Linked DNA regions of Ovis aries. The main gene of each other region encodes a partner of the protein of the gene in region 3 in a complex. Links are inferred from orthologs where the notes say so. Each region holds a gene or a part of one and is shown on either strand. Other genes may lie near its edges.

Evidence for each region. The genes of interacting proteins can lie anywhere in the genome.
Region 1: SEH1L (region 3) and NUP37 share a complex: the UniProt entries of both Homo sapiens proteins name them as parts of the nup107-160 subcomplex of the nuclear pore complex. The link is inferred for Ovis aries from reciprocal best matches to the Homo sapiens genes SEH1L and NUP37.
Region 2: SEH1L (region 3) and NUP43 share a complex: the UniProt entries of both Homo sapiens proteins name them as parts of the nup107-160 subcomplex of the nuclear pore complex. The link is inferred for Ovis aries from reciprocal best matches to the Homo sapiens genes SEH1L and NUP43.

The regions. Positions count from the first base shown.
Region 1 is NC_056056.1:171,512,160-171,517,380, reverse strand, and holds part of NUP37 (nucleoporin Nup37), read left to right. Parts: intron 1-2,901; coding exon 2,902-3,026; intron 3,027-5,221. UniProt on the Homo sapiens protein: Component of the Nup107-160 subcomplex of the nuclear pore complex (NPC). The Nup107-160 subcomplex is required for the assembly of a functional NPC.
Region 2 is NC_056061.1:73,997,799-74,002,377, reverse strand, and holds part of NUP43 (nucleoporin Nup43), read left to right. Parts: intron 1-379; coding exon 380-502; intron 503-3,568; coding exon 3,569-3,798; 3' UTR 3,799-4,579. UniProt on the Homo sapiens protein: Component of the Nup107-160 subcomplex of the nuclear pore complex (NPC). The Nup107-160 subcomplex is required for the assembly of a functional NPC.
Region 3 is NC_056076.1:43,683,783-43,689,451, forward strand, and holds the start of SEH1L (nucleoporin SEH1), read left to right. Parts: upstream 1-1,747; 5' UTR 1,748-1,873; coding exon 1,874-1,984; intron 1,985-2,197; exon of another isoform or gene 2,198-2,491; intron 2,492-4,728; coding exon 4,729-4,779; intron 4,780-5,669. UniProt on the Homo sapiens protein: Component of the Nup107-160 subcomplex of the nuclear pore complex (NPC). The Nup107-160 subcomplex is required for the assembly of a functional NPC.

The DNA.
Region 1 (5,221 bases), on a different chromosome or scaffold from region 3:
CATCCAGCCATCTCATCCTCTGTCGTCCCCTTCTCCTGTCCTCAATCTTTCCCAGCATCAGGATCTTTTCAAATGAGTCGGCTCTTTGCATCAGGTGGCCAAAGTATTGGAGTTTCAGCATCAACATCAGTCCTTCCAAAGAACACCCAGGGCTGGTCTCCTTTAGGATGGACTGGTTGGATCTCCTTGCAGTCCAAGGGACTCTCAAGAGTCTTCTCCAACACCACAGTTCAAAAGCATCAATTCTTCGGCGCTCAGCTTTCTTCACAGTCCAACTCTCACATCCATACATGACCACTGGAAAAACCATAGACTTGACTAGACGGAACTTTGTTGGCAAAGTAATGTCTCTGCTTTTGAATATGCTATCTAGGTTGGTCATAACTTTCCTTCCAAGGAGTAAACGTCTTTTAATTTCATGGCTACAGTCACCATCTGCAGTGATTTTGGAGCCCAAAAAATAAAGTCTGACACTGTTTCCCCATCTATTTGCCATGAAGTGATGGGACCAGATGCCATGATCTTCGTTTTCTGAATGTTGAGCTTTAAGCCAACTTTTTCACTCTATTTCACTCTCATCAAGAGGCTTTTTAGTTCCTCTTCACTTTCTGCCATAAGGGTGGTGTCATCTGCATATCTGAGGCTATTGATATTTCTCCCGGCAATCTTGATTCCAGCTTGTGCTTCTTCCAGCCCAGCGTTTCTCATGAGGTACTCTGCATAGAAGTTAAATAAGCAGGGTGACAATACACAGCCTTGACGTACTCCTTTTCCTATTTGGAACCAGTCTGTTGTTCCATGTCCAGTTCTGTTGCTTCCTGACCTGCATATAGGTTTCTCAAGAGGCAGGTCAGGTGGTCTGTATTCCCATCTCTTTCAGAATTTTCCACAGTTTATTGTGATCCACACAGTCAGAGGCTTTAGCATAGTCAGTAAAGCAGAAGTAGATGTTTTTCTGGAACTCTCTTGCTTTTTCGATGATCCAGCAGATGTTGGCAATTTGATCTCTGGTTCCTCTGCCTTTTCTAAAACCAAGTCAAGTGGGCCTTAGAAAGCATCACTACAAACAAAGCTAGTGGAGGTAATGGAATTCCAGTGGAGCTATTTCAATTCTGAAAGATGATGCTGTGAAAGTGCTGCATTCAATATGCCAGCAAATTTGGAAAACTCAGCAATGGCCACGGGACTAGAAAAGGTCAGTTTTCATTCCAATCCCAAAGAAAGGCAATGCCAAAGAATGCTCAAACTACCGCACAGTTGCACTCATCTCACATGCTAGTAAAGTAATGCTCAAAATTCTCCAAGCCAGGCTTTTTGTCTTAACTACATTCTGAATAAGTTTTTCAAATCTGTCTTCCAGCTTCTCTGAGCCTTGTTTATTTTTTTCTTATGATAGTATTTTCATCTATACTTTTTCATTTAGTTCTTTAATACCTGTCTGGTCATTTTGGGTAATCTCATGTTGCTTAGTCAAATTTTTTGATTCTTTTGTCTACATCCTCAAAAATACATTTTTTTAATCTGATTTTTTTAATGTCTCCAGGTTGATTCTTCTGTTTGTGTTTGTGGTATTTTGTTTTCATATGTAGCAGTGCATGCATGTAAGATCATATCTGATTGAACTATATCTGTGAGAATTTTGAGACCTGGGTAGAGGAAGTTAATCCAAAATGAATTTGCCTTTAGTCGTCAAGTGCTTAGGGCCACTAACAACATATGGACATTTTGAAATAAGTTTTCATTTTCTGGGGCACATAGTTAATGTGAATTCAAGCCCCAAACTTATGTTAAGGCCAGCCAGTGGTTGAGATTTCTCACAAGTTACTTTTTTCTTTTTCTTGACCTTGAGCCAGGGTATATATTTTGCATGGCACTTTTGATTTGGGGTTTTTGTTTTCCCTACTTACACTTTAAAGGTCCTGGATCTATTCAAAGGTCCCTGATCTGCATCCTTCTTTGTGTAGGCACTAAGTTTTGTCTTCTGTCTCCTACCAACAAACATTACTAATTATTGGATATGGGCAGATGTCCTTAAGATAGCTTTGTGCTTCTGTGCTAAGTTGCTTCTCTGGATTTGGATTTTTGCATTATTTTTGTAGTCAGAAAGCTTTTCAGGTTATTGTCCATATTGCCAGACAAAGATGACTTGACTTTTCAAAATTCATTCTTGTCTTCCTATGAGAATAAACTGAAATCATTTTAGTAGTACTGAATTAAATAGATAAGCTGACTTTATTAAACATCTTACCCAGAATCAAATATCTAAAAGACTGATCACTAATTTGCACATCCACTGCTCATAGTAATGGTATAGGTGAACAACAGTTTGTTCAATCCCACACATGTATGAAAGTGAAAGTGTGAGTTGCTGAGTTATGTCCAACTATTTCCATGTAAATCACTGATACTCTTTATAATTACTTTGAGGCATCATAAGGTACAAGGTATCTTATACATAATCAAAACTGCGTTCAGTATATATTTTTGATACTGTTATTTGATAATCCATGCATGTTACTTCATTTACTAGAACATTCTGATTCTTAGAGCATTGTATTTTCGTTGTGTTTGATGTGAAATATATTTACTATTAGGAAGAAAATGTCTCTTGAGATAAAGTATAACAAGTATATTGTTTTTAATTATCTTAGAGAGTTATTTTGTAACAGACAACTTTGAATATTTTTGTTGTCGTTCAGTAAACTGGTTGAAAGAAAGTGAAAGTGAAGCCGTGTCTCACTCTTTGCAACCCTATGGATTATAGCCTAATATCTGATCTGCTTTTTGAACTTCCCAAAAGAATATTCATGGCCCCCTGATAAATTCTTCCTTATAATAAAATACTCAGTTTTATATTGTTTGTTCTCATGACTTATTTAAACATGTACTGTGTATGCTTAGGAGGAAGAAGCAGACGTTGAAGGAATTCAGTATAAAACACTACGAACATTCCACCATGGAGTCAGAGTTGATGGCATAGCTTGGAGCCCAGAGACTAGACTTGATTCATTGCCTCCAGTAATCAAGTAAGTTGAAAATTATTAAATGCAGCGTTTATTAATATCCTTTGTGTTAAGTGATCTGAAGCCTCTGATCATGGGGACATTTTTCCTCCATTTCCCCAACTTCAGGTACTAGGTATTTTAATATTTGCTATTATTTCATAATTTAGGCTTATTGTTTAAATTTGTGACTTATATGCAAATATAGCAGAGATGCCTTGAAGCATGTGTTTGAGCCTGACTACAAAGCTGTTTATGTGAGATTCCTATGAATCATAAATTCTTCACTGAATTTACCACTTATTGAAAGTGCAACTTTGTTAAAATAACTAAATGTGGTTGAGTCGTTAATCAGCCTTACTGCCCCATACATAAAGTGAGGAAAGGAAAGTGAAGTCTCTCAGTCATGTCCAACTCTTTGCGACCCCATGGACTGTAACTTACCAGGCTCCTCCATTCATGGGATTTTCCAGGCAAGAATCCTGGAGTGGGTTGCCATTTCCTTCTCCAGAAGATCTTCCCAACCCAGGGATTGAACCCAGGTTTCCCTGATGGCTCAGAGGTTAAAGCGACTGCCTACAATGAGGGAGACCTGGGTTCGATCCCTGGGTCAGGAAGATCCCCTGAAGAAGGAAATGGTAACCCACTCCAGTATTCTTGCCTGGAGAATCCCATGGATAGAGAAGCCTGGTAGGCTACAATCCACAAGGTCGCAAAGAGTCAGACACGACTGAGTGACTTCACTTTCACTTTCACTCCTGCATTATAGGCAGATGCTTTACCATCTGAGCCACCAACTGTACTTCTAATCTTTGGGCTTCAGTTTTGTTGAAAACGTTTGAAAAGAATGACTACTTTTTGAGAAAAAAAATTAACATACTTGCTGAGGCCTTCTTCACAAAGGCAATGATATGTCAGGTTATTTAAGGTCTGTTACAAAACACTAACCTTATTTCCATAAATGTCAATTCTAAAATGTATGTCTTCGTTTAGTAAACAGTATTTAACAATCATAATTTAGCTCTTACTGAGCTAACCTAATTTTTTTTAATTAAGGGATAATTTATATACAGTGAACTCAACTCTTAACGGAACAGTTTAATCAGTGTTGACAAATGCATGTACTTTTATAACCTAGATGCTAGTAATACATAGCATTTCTGTGACCCCCAAAAGATTTTTTGTGCTCCTTGTGGTTAATCCCTGTACCCCATCCTCTGTCTAAGCAACTATTGATCAATTTCTGTTATCAGAAATTAGTTTTGCCTAATTAACCTATTTCTTCCAATGACTCTTAATTAAATCATTGAAAAGGCATGGTACCAGAGACTTATCAACATATCTGGATCTCTAGATTAGGAGACTTGTTTTAAATTAAGCTTTATTTAAATTAAATAAACTAAATGTTTTAGGTGAGAAAAAAATATTAGCTTTAATGCAGTCAAAACTTGAGAAGTTTAGATCTATATGATACTCATTTACTTAAAGACAATTGGAAATAAGCTCTATTTTTTAATTCAGGCATACAAAGGGTTCCCACCTGGCTCAGTGGTAAAGAATCCACCTTCCAATGCAGGAGACATGGGTTTGATACCTAGGGGGAAGATCTCCTGGAGGAGGAAATGGCAACTGCTCTGGTGGAAATGGCAACTCACTCCAGTATTCTTGCCTAGAGAATCCTGTGGACAGAGGAGCCTGGTGGGCTGCTGTCCATAGGGTCACATAGAGTTGGACATGACTGAAGCGACTTAGCATGCATGCATGCATTGGAGAAGGAAATGGCAACCCACTCCAGTATTCTTGCCTGGAGAATCCCAGGGACGGAGGAGCCTGGTGGGCTGCCATCTATGGGGTCGCATAGAATCGGACACAACTGAAGTGACTTAGCAGCAGCAGCCAGTGTTCTTGCCTGAAAAATCCCATAAACAGAGCTGCCTGGCAGGCTATAATCCATGGGGTCGCAAAGAGTCGGACACGACTGAGAGACTGAGCGCATATGCGTACATACAGATATATAAGTTCTTTCTTCCTCAGCCATAATCTGACATGCTAAGAATCTAAGAATTTTAGGATTAAAGGCAAACTAGTTAAAAAATAGTTATTACTAGTTTGTTTTGTAGTATACATTGATGTACATCTAAACAAGAACCTTAAATAATAGGGTCAGTATGATAATACTCCAACTTTTAGTAATAAATACACCAGCATTTATAGGTATA
Region 2 (4,579 bases), on a different chromosome or scaffold from region 3:
ATCTTTCAGAATTATCCCATTGTCATATTGGGTTAGCGAAAACTTTGTTCGAGTTTTGGCATAAATTGGTATGGAAAAACCTGAACACACTTTTTGGCCAACCCAATACTTTTCCATATAAAAAAGCAGTAGGTCAGATGACTAGCATTTATGTTCATTCATTTGCTGGCCCGATACCCGAGTAGATTTACTTGACTTCTTTATCCTGTCTACGTTTCAGCCATTTGGAGCATTATATTATGCCTTCTCTTTGACACTGAAGCCTTTGATTTTTATCACAGGCTTGGAGTTTGAAGGTGTGTGACGGAGGTTAATGGACGATATGCCTAGAGGTAGCATTTTGATGTTGGTTTAACTAACCTTGGTTCTTATCTCATAGTGTGGGAAGTTCACTTTCACCCATCCAACCCAGATCATCTGTTCACTTGTTCTGAAGATGGATCTCTCTGGCACTGGGATGCCTCCACAGACGGACCTGAGAAGTCGTCACTCTTTCACCAAGGTAAAATGTTTTAATGAAGATTCTTGTGGGCAGCTTGAGATTATATTTTGGTATGCCAAATGAGAAATACTCATATTTTTAACATTAAGGAGTGATAGAAGGTTTCCATTCTCTGGCCTCAGGGTAGATTTTAGTATCACAGGGCATGAAATCTATCAGCTACTGACCACTATACTGCTGACGACTAGAAATGCTATTTATTAGCTGGCTAACTTTGTAAGTACATTGCTGTGGGCCCTCATGCCACAGAATAGGCACTGATCACTCTCCTATATTACACTGTCAAAGGTGTATGACTCTTTTTATGTATTAAGGTACTGGTTTCTCAGAATAAAAGGCTCTGTCTCCTGATTAAAGACAGAGGTAAGTAAAGGTTGGACTTCCCAGGTAGCGCTGGTTGTAAAGAACCTGCCTGTCAATGCAGGAGACCTAAGAGGTGCAGGTTCAGTCCCTGGGTGGGAAGATCCCCTGGAGGAGGGCATGGCAACCCGCTTCAGTATTCTTGCCTGGAGAATCCCATAGACAGAGGGGCCTGGTGGGCTACTGTCCAGAGGGTTGCAAAGAGCTGGACACGACTGAAGTGACGTAACACAAGTAAAGGTCATCCAGAAACTATATACTTAAAATCAAAATGAATTTTTATTTTCATTTTTGGTATTTTCTAAGCTTTCTGGTTTTGAGCTTGTCTGTGACTGCAAACTTTGTTCATTCACTCAGCAAATGTTTATGAAGTGCCATGTGCTAGGTACCCTTCTAGGTGTTAGAGCCCATGACAGCGAGCAGAAGAGCCTTGAGGCACGTAGAGCAAATATTCTAGTAGACAGTAAGTCAGGAGGTGATATTTCAGTAAAAGTCCAAACAGAAAAGCAGAAACTACCCTGGGTTTAAAAGGAATTGTTTTCATGTGTATTGGGCTAGAAGAACAAAAGGGAATGGGAGGGATGCTGGAAGAGCAAATGGCAGAAAGGAGGAATGCCCAGAAATGAACAGTTGTTACTAACCTCCACTGTCCTGTTAGAAGTGCTGTCAGAGTTGGTTCTGGATCAGCAGAAAAGGTGCCACCTCAGCTGGGGCTGGAATCACTGTAGTGTTGTCAGAAACCTGGAGCTTTTTCCCATTCCCACCTTACTCCCCACAGCTTCTCTGCCTTCGTCACCCACAATAGTTATCTCCCGTGCTCAGGGTTCACCTGGAAGGCAGATAGCAAGGGAGCCTGGGAAAAGAAATTCATTCCGACAGTACATAGTGGAACATAGCAAGGGAGACAGAGCAAAATGGAAAAGAACTGGATCAAATACCCTGATGACCATGCAGAAGAGTGAAGAGAGTAGGATGATGAAAAAAAATTAATTGGGGAGGGGCCGCTTGGCAGAGGAGAGAAGATCTCAGCAGAGACCTGAAGAGATGAAACTACTAGTCACAGGCAAGCATTCCAGTAGAGGAAACACCAAATTCCAAAGGCCTGAGACTGCGAACAGAAAAGAGCCAGTGTGGCTGCAGTTCAGCAGGCAGGAGGGGGAGTAGATGGTGAGAAGGAGCTGAGGAGCAGGACTCTGCAGACTGGGAGCAGCTGAGATTTCTTTCTGACGTCACCAAATGCCACTGGAGAATTTTGAGCAGGGAAGTGGGGTGATTTGTCTTGTATGTTTCCAAACAATCGCTTTGGCAACTATGGGGAGAGGGTTGGAAAAGTGGAAGCAGGAGGACCAGGAGACAGACTTTCCACAGTGGTTCTAATGTTCAATTTCACAGTATTCAAGAGTAATACTGGAGCAGTAAAAGGTAAACAGAAACTAAGAAGGAAAAGTCCAAAACTTCTCCAGAAAAATGCTGGAAAAGTATGGAATGTGCAGAGTATGGAGTATGCCTGTGCTAATAACTTCATGTATGGAAAAACTAATAGTTCTATTAAGTTTCTAATAAATACCCAAGAGTAGCTAAGCACTTGGTTTTTTATTTCTTCTTCTAGCCCCACTATCTTGCATTTGAGATTTTATAGTTTGAAGAATGCTGGTTAGATTGGAAATAGTCATTAACTGTATCCTGTGTCTGGTATTGCAAAGAACAGTATTAGACACTGAAAAAGTTAATCTATACAACCTGCTCTTAAGGAATACTTAATTTAGTTTTAATTTAGGAGAAGGAGCCAAAGAAAGTTAAATCATGATATAAGAAATGTTGCAAATAGTAAATTATTAGGGGTGCATACAAGTGCTGCAGGTTCCAGGAAGAAAAAGAGAAGCATGAACTAGAGTCATCTTGACAGACTTCTCAGAAAAGGAAGTTGAGCTGGGCTTTCAAAATCAGCAAGATTTAAACCCACTAATTTTTAAACTTCAAGGTATGAGAGACTTTGCCTTGTATTCCCAGCACTTAGCACAGAGCCTGGCATATAGTAGGTGTCAGCCATTTATTGAGAGTAAACAAAATCTGTCTTTATTTGATCTGGCAAAAAGTAGAAAGAAAATTTCAAATGAAGGCTAAAACTGAAATAATTAATTCTATGTTAAATGCAGAGCACTGTCAGAGATAAAAGTTTATAATTTGGTAGTGTTCTAAAATTCTACTTTTAAGAACATTTACCTAAAATAAACACAAGAATAAAAGGAGATCTACAGCAAGTTGATTATATTTTTAGAAATATATGTTTTTAGAAATATGTCCAGAAATTTTCTCATGATCACTTCATTTTTTGATTATCTAACCGTGTAGGTTTCTACATATTATCTACATCTATTCTACTTGTCCTCTAACCATTTTGCTACATTTCTGAGACTTTCCATTAAAGTATAAATAGGAAGACAAGGTCAAAATTAATCTTGGGCTTTGCTGAAGAGTTCAAGTTTGAAAGCCATGTTATCCCATGAAAATTTGAGTGTTTAATATCACTGACTTAGAAGCTTTTGGTCAAAAACGGTGATGCGTTATAATGGAATCATCAGCCTGTTATTCTTGAGAGTTAAAACAAGTTTATATCATTACATTTTTTAGATATTAGAATTTCAGAGATTTACTAGTATAAAATTGGTCTTGAACAATGTTTTCCCATTTTCTTTTTTTTCCCAGGAGGAAGAAATAGTACTTTTTTGTCTCATACCATTAGTAACCAAGCTAATGTTCACCAATCTCTTATAAGCTCCTGGCTCAGCACTGATCCTGCCAAAGATCGTATTGAAATCACAAGCTTGCTTCCTAATAGGACTTTGTCTGTGAACAGTCTGGATGTTTTAGGTCCTTGTCTTGTTTGTGGAACGGATGCAGAAGCAATTTATGTTACTAGACAGCTTTTTTCATGAAGATACTAAAAGATTTCAGGTAAAACATACAGTTACAACCTTTCAAATGCCAGTTTCTTTGCAAATTTTTGTTATTGGAAAATGTGAAATTTGCAAGGGGAACAGCCATAAACTATTGTTAATGTTGATGCCCAGTTTGTTAGTTGAATATTGCTCTAACAGTTGCTGGAGTCTGATTGATGACCCATGGCAAAAGAATTGAAATATGTGGCGGAACATCAGAGGAATCCTTGTTCTGATGAATGCACTGCCTTCAGCACCATTCTAGATAGCTCATGGAACCAACTCTCCATTTTTGATGTTGTAGGGCTTAATAATGTCAAACCACCAACAGGTTCCTTTCCTTTTCAGGAGTATGTGGGATATGGTATGTCCCTCCCTGGTGACATTTTTCAATACTAGTATTTATTCTCTTTACTGCAAGTGTTTCTTCAGTCCTTCAACATTTTATTTCCTTAATAATTTCAGTAAACTTTCTTCAGTAAGAATTGAGTAGAGCAAAAATGACAGTTTTTGGTAGTGTTGAAATTTTTTTTAAGGTGAAAATGTTTTGATGGGTTCCTTTATTAGAATGGGTTTGAACAGAACTCTGTCACCTCCTTAGACCCAGCTTTGTTTCTCTTGAAAAAAGACAAAATACATTTTTCGTAAGGATTTTTGCTTTTATTTAGTTTTTTACGCCATAATTGAAAATTGCTGAATTGGACATTGTGCATTAAAATAGGATTTGACATTGGTAAGTGAGGCAGCTTCCAAACTAAAATTTGAGAGGTAACATGTA
Region 3 (5,669 bases):
AGTGCATTGCTAGCCAAGCCTGTTAAAGCAAACTGTTTCTGGTGGAAATCTTAATTAGCAAGTATTGAGGAAAATGTATCTGTCAGACCCAACTGCTGTGAACCAGCTCCCATGGGATGAGTTAATCAGCTTGAGCAATGAAACAACATCTGTAATAGCAAGGGCAGTTGCAGTGAATGCCTGCCTAAATATACAGTAACGCACCATTATTCTCCAAGACTCACCTGCCTTCTGCACAGGCCAGAGGTAAGCAGCAGTGGGATGTGGTGGGTGCCACCAGCCCTGCATCCTTCAAGCCGTTATTGGTGGCACTAAGCTCTGCAGTACTGTTTCTGGCTCCCTACTCTTCTCAGCAGGGGCAGCTCTAGTGGTGTCCACTTGACCTTTCCCAGCATATAGCCCTCCTTCCACAGGTCAGGGAACCAACTCAAGGATTCTCCCTGTTGCCCAACCACATTCCAGAACCAGGGAAATAACCACAGGATGGCTCTGAGGACCCACTGTGAGACACACCTGAGCCAGAAAACCTCTGGTCAGCTGACCTCCTCAAGGCCTGCTCTGACTGTGGATCACAGTGATATTTTGGGTCTCCTGAAATCAGGGTCAGTTTGGAGCTGCGTGTTCAGAATTCTTGAAAAATCTAATTATTTCCTTTTCCCCAAAGCATAATCACCGTGGTAAAAGGCCCCAGGTCCCCTGAGGGAAGGCTGGAAGATTCAGTGTGTATTTTTGGCAGCACAGTAGGGTCTTTCCTCAAGGTGATCTGGCTTCCTCTTTAATCAAGGGTTTTTGGGTCTGTAAACTGGGTCAAGTGTGACGTTGATTGTAAGGCTGTCACGCTGCTTTTATGAGTTTTGTGAGTATTTTCTCTGGCAACGAGTGTCTTTGTTCTTAGAGCAGTTACAGTAGTTCTCAGTTATCATACCGGCAACTCACGGATTTGGGGGTTTGCCCTTGACGTACCGGGCTACAGTCCACACTGTCACATGTATGTGTCCTCTTAAAGTACCAATAAAATCTTACCATTTTTAGTGGGAGGGGAAAGGCAAGTGAAGGCATTTCCAGTAAGGCCAAACCATTTCTGCAGATCCTGGGGGAACGGGGACTGCCGGGGCCACGCACCCCCCCACCCCTCACCACACACGCTGGACACACGCTCCTTACGCACCGCTAATCTCTGCGCTCACTCCCGGGGCCCTGCCCGACTCCCGGGGCCCAACGCGATGAGACTGACTCAGGGCCGAGGCTTGCAAATGATAGTCTTAACCTTCACATTCCCCTAATCTCCACACTTCGACGGAGAGCTCCTTAAGTCCCCTTAGGGCACCGACGGGCTTTCCTTGTGGCTAAGCGGGTAAAGAATCCGCCCGCAATGCGGGGAGTCCTGGCTTCGATCCCTGGATTGGGAAGACTCCCTGAAAGAGAGAAAGGCTACACACTCCAGTATTCTGGCCTGGAGAATTCCATGGACTGTATAGTGGATGGGGTCGCAAAGAGTCGGACACGACTGAGCGACTTTTACTTCATTTCACTTCAGGGCACAGACTGCGCCGCAGCCAGGCGACAGAGTAACTACCGCGGCCCCCGCCACGCGGTGTTTGACCCACACCCGGGCCTTGACTGGTACGGCGAACCGGGGGCGGAGCCTTGCGGGGTGTGACGGGCAGGGGGCGGGGTCCCGCGGGGTATGACGGGCCAGGGGGCGGGGCCCCGCGGGGTATGACGGGCCAGGGGGCGGGGCGGGCGCAGCCCGGGGCGCGCGAGCAGCACGCGGAAAGCACCGCCGTGCGCGCCCCGGCGCCGGGTCCGGGTGGGCTGCGGTCCGCGCGCCGCCGCGCCGCCGTGTAGGAGGCGGGAGGGGTCCGGCGCAGCCATGTTCGTGGCGCGCAGTATCGCGGCGGACCACAAGGATCTCATCCATGATGTGTCTTTTGACTTCCACGGGCGGCGGATGGCCACCTGCTCCAGCGACCAAAGCGTCAAGGTGCGGGCCGAGCCTGGAAGCGGGCGGGACCTTGCGCGGCCCGCTGTCCGAGCGAGGGGCGCGTGGAGAGGGGAGTGCTCCCGAGTTGAGGCGCCTTGCCGGGCACGAGGCCCGGCGGCTTGGCCGGCGGGCGCCCTCCTCCCGGGTATTGTGGGGTCACTGCCGCCCGGGCCGCCTCTCCGCGGTTGTCTGCGTGCGTGCGTGCGTCACGGCGGCGGGCGCGCTCCCGCTGCGGGGGAAGCAGGGCGCTCCGATCGGCCAGGCTTGCCCTGGGCTCCAGGCTGGGGCCGGAGCACCTCGTGGGAGGGGGATGTCTCGCTTGGCGGTGGTCGGCGGGACCTAGGCCCGCTCCGCGGGCGCCCGTCGGATTGGGCTCCCTCCGTCCATGTATTCACAGCTGGGCCGCGGCTGCGCGGCCCTCGCTGACGGATCTGTGACGAGGCCCGGGTTTTCTCTCCGCCCGCCGCGGCCGCGTGACAGTCGCGATAATTGGCGTCCGTTAACCGAGTAGGTTTCCTTATCCGCTTAAAGCTGTCTTCTAGAGGATTGTCCCGTGTGCGGAGTATTTGTCGGGGTGTTGCAGTGAAAAAGCTTCGTTAATCCCGCTTTTTATGTTTTTTGGAAGTTTTCCTTAGGCTCATTCCAGTAAAGAAATTAATGAGTATTTTAAAAGCTCTTGAGAGTACTTGGTAGATTGTCTTTTTGAAGGTTGTACTGTTTTACAGCTGCCGGTGAAGAGTATCGGTGTGATAGTTGTCCGTGTCGGACATTATCATTGCATTTTTTTCTTTAGTGTTTTCGTTATTGCAGTGAACTACAGGTAACAAAATTTACCACCTTAACCGTTTTTATTAAGTATGTTTGTATCTTTGCATCGGTCACTGCCATCCTCAGTTTGCACTGTCCGCATTAAGCATGACTCACCGATCCCTGAAGCGTCCACCCCGGTCCCCGCCCTTGTACTTTCTGTCTCTGAATTTGGCTACTCCAGCGGCCTCATACAAGTGGGATCATACAGGATTTGTCTTTTTTGTGACTGGCTGATTTCACTTAGCTTAATGTTTTGAAGTTCATACGTGTTGTAGCATTTGTCATAATTTCCTTCCCGAGAAAAGGAAGCGTTTAAATAATCTAAAAACTTTTAAAGAGGCTGAGTATATGTATCTGCATATACCACATTTTACATATCACTCATCTGTTGGTGGAGTTTGGTTCCTTCTACATTTTAGTTGTGAACAGTGCTGCTGTGAATGTGGGTGAACAAGTATAGCTTTGAGACCTGCTTTCAACTCTTTTGGGTGCAGACCCAGAAGTGGAATTGCTGAATCACATGGCAATTCTATTTTTATTTGAAAAAATTTTAATAATTTTTATATATGTGTTGCTGTTCTTGGGCTTTCTCTAGTTGAGGAGAGCGAGGGCTGCTCATCGTTGTGGTGCTCCAGGCTTCTCATTAGCGGCGCTTCTTGTGGAGGATGGGCTCTCGGTCACGCAGGGTTCAGTAGTTGCGGGTCATCTGCTCAAGAAAACGGACTTGCGTTGGCAGGCAAATTCTATCCACCGGGGAAGTCCTGTTTGAAGTTTTATGAGGAGCCACAATACTGTTTTATCATTACATTTTTAAAAATTGATTTATTTGGGGGACATATTACATTTAAAAAACCTGGTTAAAATCTCACGTTATTGTAATGTCTATTTTTTGTTGGTATGAAGGTTCAGTGTTTTGTCTTTGACTGTTATATATACAGTTGAGTCTTGTTATTTGCAAGTTTTGTATTTGTGAATTTGCTTATTCTATAAAGTTTATTTGTAACCCCCAAAGCAACGCTCATGGTTATTTGTTGACATGACCAGGTGGCAGAAAAATTGGAGTTGTTCAGGTTGTGTTCCCAGCTGAGGTTGGACATGTGACACTCTGCCTTTTATTCAGGCTTTCATAGTGTAAACAAGCGTCCTTCTGAGTGTGTGTTTGGTGCCACATTTTTCACATTTTCATTCTTTTGGTGAATTTCACTGGCTGAAGTGGTCCTCAAGTGTAGTGCTGCATAATGTCCCACAGCAAAAAGGCTATGAGTGCCTTCCCGAAAAAGTATGTGTTAGGGGAGCTTCATTCAGACCTGAGTTACAGTGTTGGTGTGATTTCAGTTCAGTCACTCAGTTGCATCCGACTCTTTGTGACCCCATGGACTGCAGCACGCCAGGCTTCCCTGTCCTTCACCAACTCCTGGGGCTTGCTCAAACTCATGTCCATTGAGTCGGTGATGCCATCCAACCATTTCATCCCCTGTCCTTCCCTTCTCCTGCCTTCAGTCTTTTCCCAGCATCAGGGTCTTTTCCAGTGTTCAGTGTTAGTGAATCGATAATGTATACAAAATAAGGTGTTTGCAAACATGCACAGGTAAAACAAGGTTATTGATAGGTTGGTTGATAAATACATTGTGACCAGAGGCTCCTGTGAATTGTACCTGTTTCCTCTGTGGGAGAGTGGTCAGTATTGGCCCAGTGACTTTCTAGGGCAGCAGCACCATAAGTGCCTGACTTGAGTGGCACTGTTATCATCTCCATTAACTATTGGAGCGAAGGTTCCTGGACTGACATGTCCTCAGTCCTGAGTAAATATTTGGTTGAATGAATGAATTTTAATTACTGATTTTATCTTTTGTGAATTTATGTTTCCCTCCTTTGTCCTCACTGATTCAATTAATTTTAGGAATTCTTGGTACAAAATATCTTTTTTCTTACAGGTCTGGGATAAAAGTGAAAGTGGGGAATGGCATTGCACTGCTAGCTGGAAGGTTAGTATTTATTTTTATGGTGATTTTTAAAAATTGAAACATTTTACTATTGGGTAGCATTAGTGACTTTGTTCAGTTTTGAGAATTATAAAATTTATACCTTTTACTTTTTTTCACTATTAAAGTAGCAAATGTGCTTCAGAAAATTTGAAAGTAGCATTTTTAACCTAATTGTTTTTAGCATCTCAGTATGTCTTTCTTATTTCTTTCCTTTACATATTTTAATAGTTGTGATGTTTTGTACATAGCTTTATTTTTTGCTTTAAAAAATAGCTTTACCCCAGGTAGAGTTTTACGTATCTTGAGAATCGTCAATTTTAAATGTACAGTTCAATGAGTGTTAGTAAGTTTACACAGTTGGCAGCTCTACCACAATCTAGTTTTAGAACACTTAGTATCAACAATGAAATTTCCCTTGTGGCAGCTTGGGAGTTAATTTTTCCCTTCTTATGCCCCAGGTAACCACTGAACTGTTTTCTGTTTATAAAGTTTTACTTTCTCTAGTGTTCTTGCCTGGAAAATCCCAGGGACGGGGGAGCCTGGTGGGCTGCCGTCTATGGGGTTGCACAGAGTTGGACACGACTGAAGTGACTTAGCAGCAGCAGACATTTCATATAAATGGAATTCTACTGTATGTAGTTACTTGTTTGTACTTGCTTTCCTTAGCTTGTTTTTGAGGTTCATCCATGTTGTGGTATGTATCAGTGGTTTGATCCTTTGTAAAGCTGAGTAGTAGTCAGTCCATTGTATAGATAAAGCCACATTTTACTTACTCATTGACTATTTGATGGACATTTGTTTGTTTTTAGTTTTTGACGATTATGAATGCTATTATGAACATGCCATACAAGTCTTTGTGTGGACATTTTTGATTCTTTTAGATGTCTAGG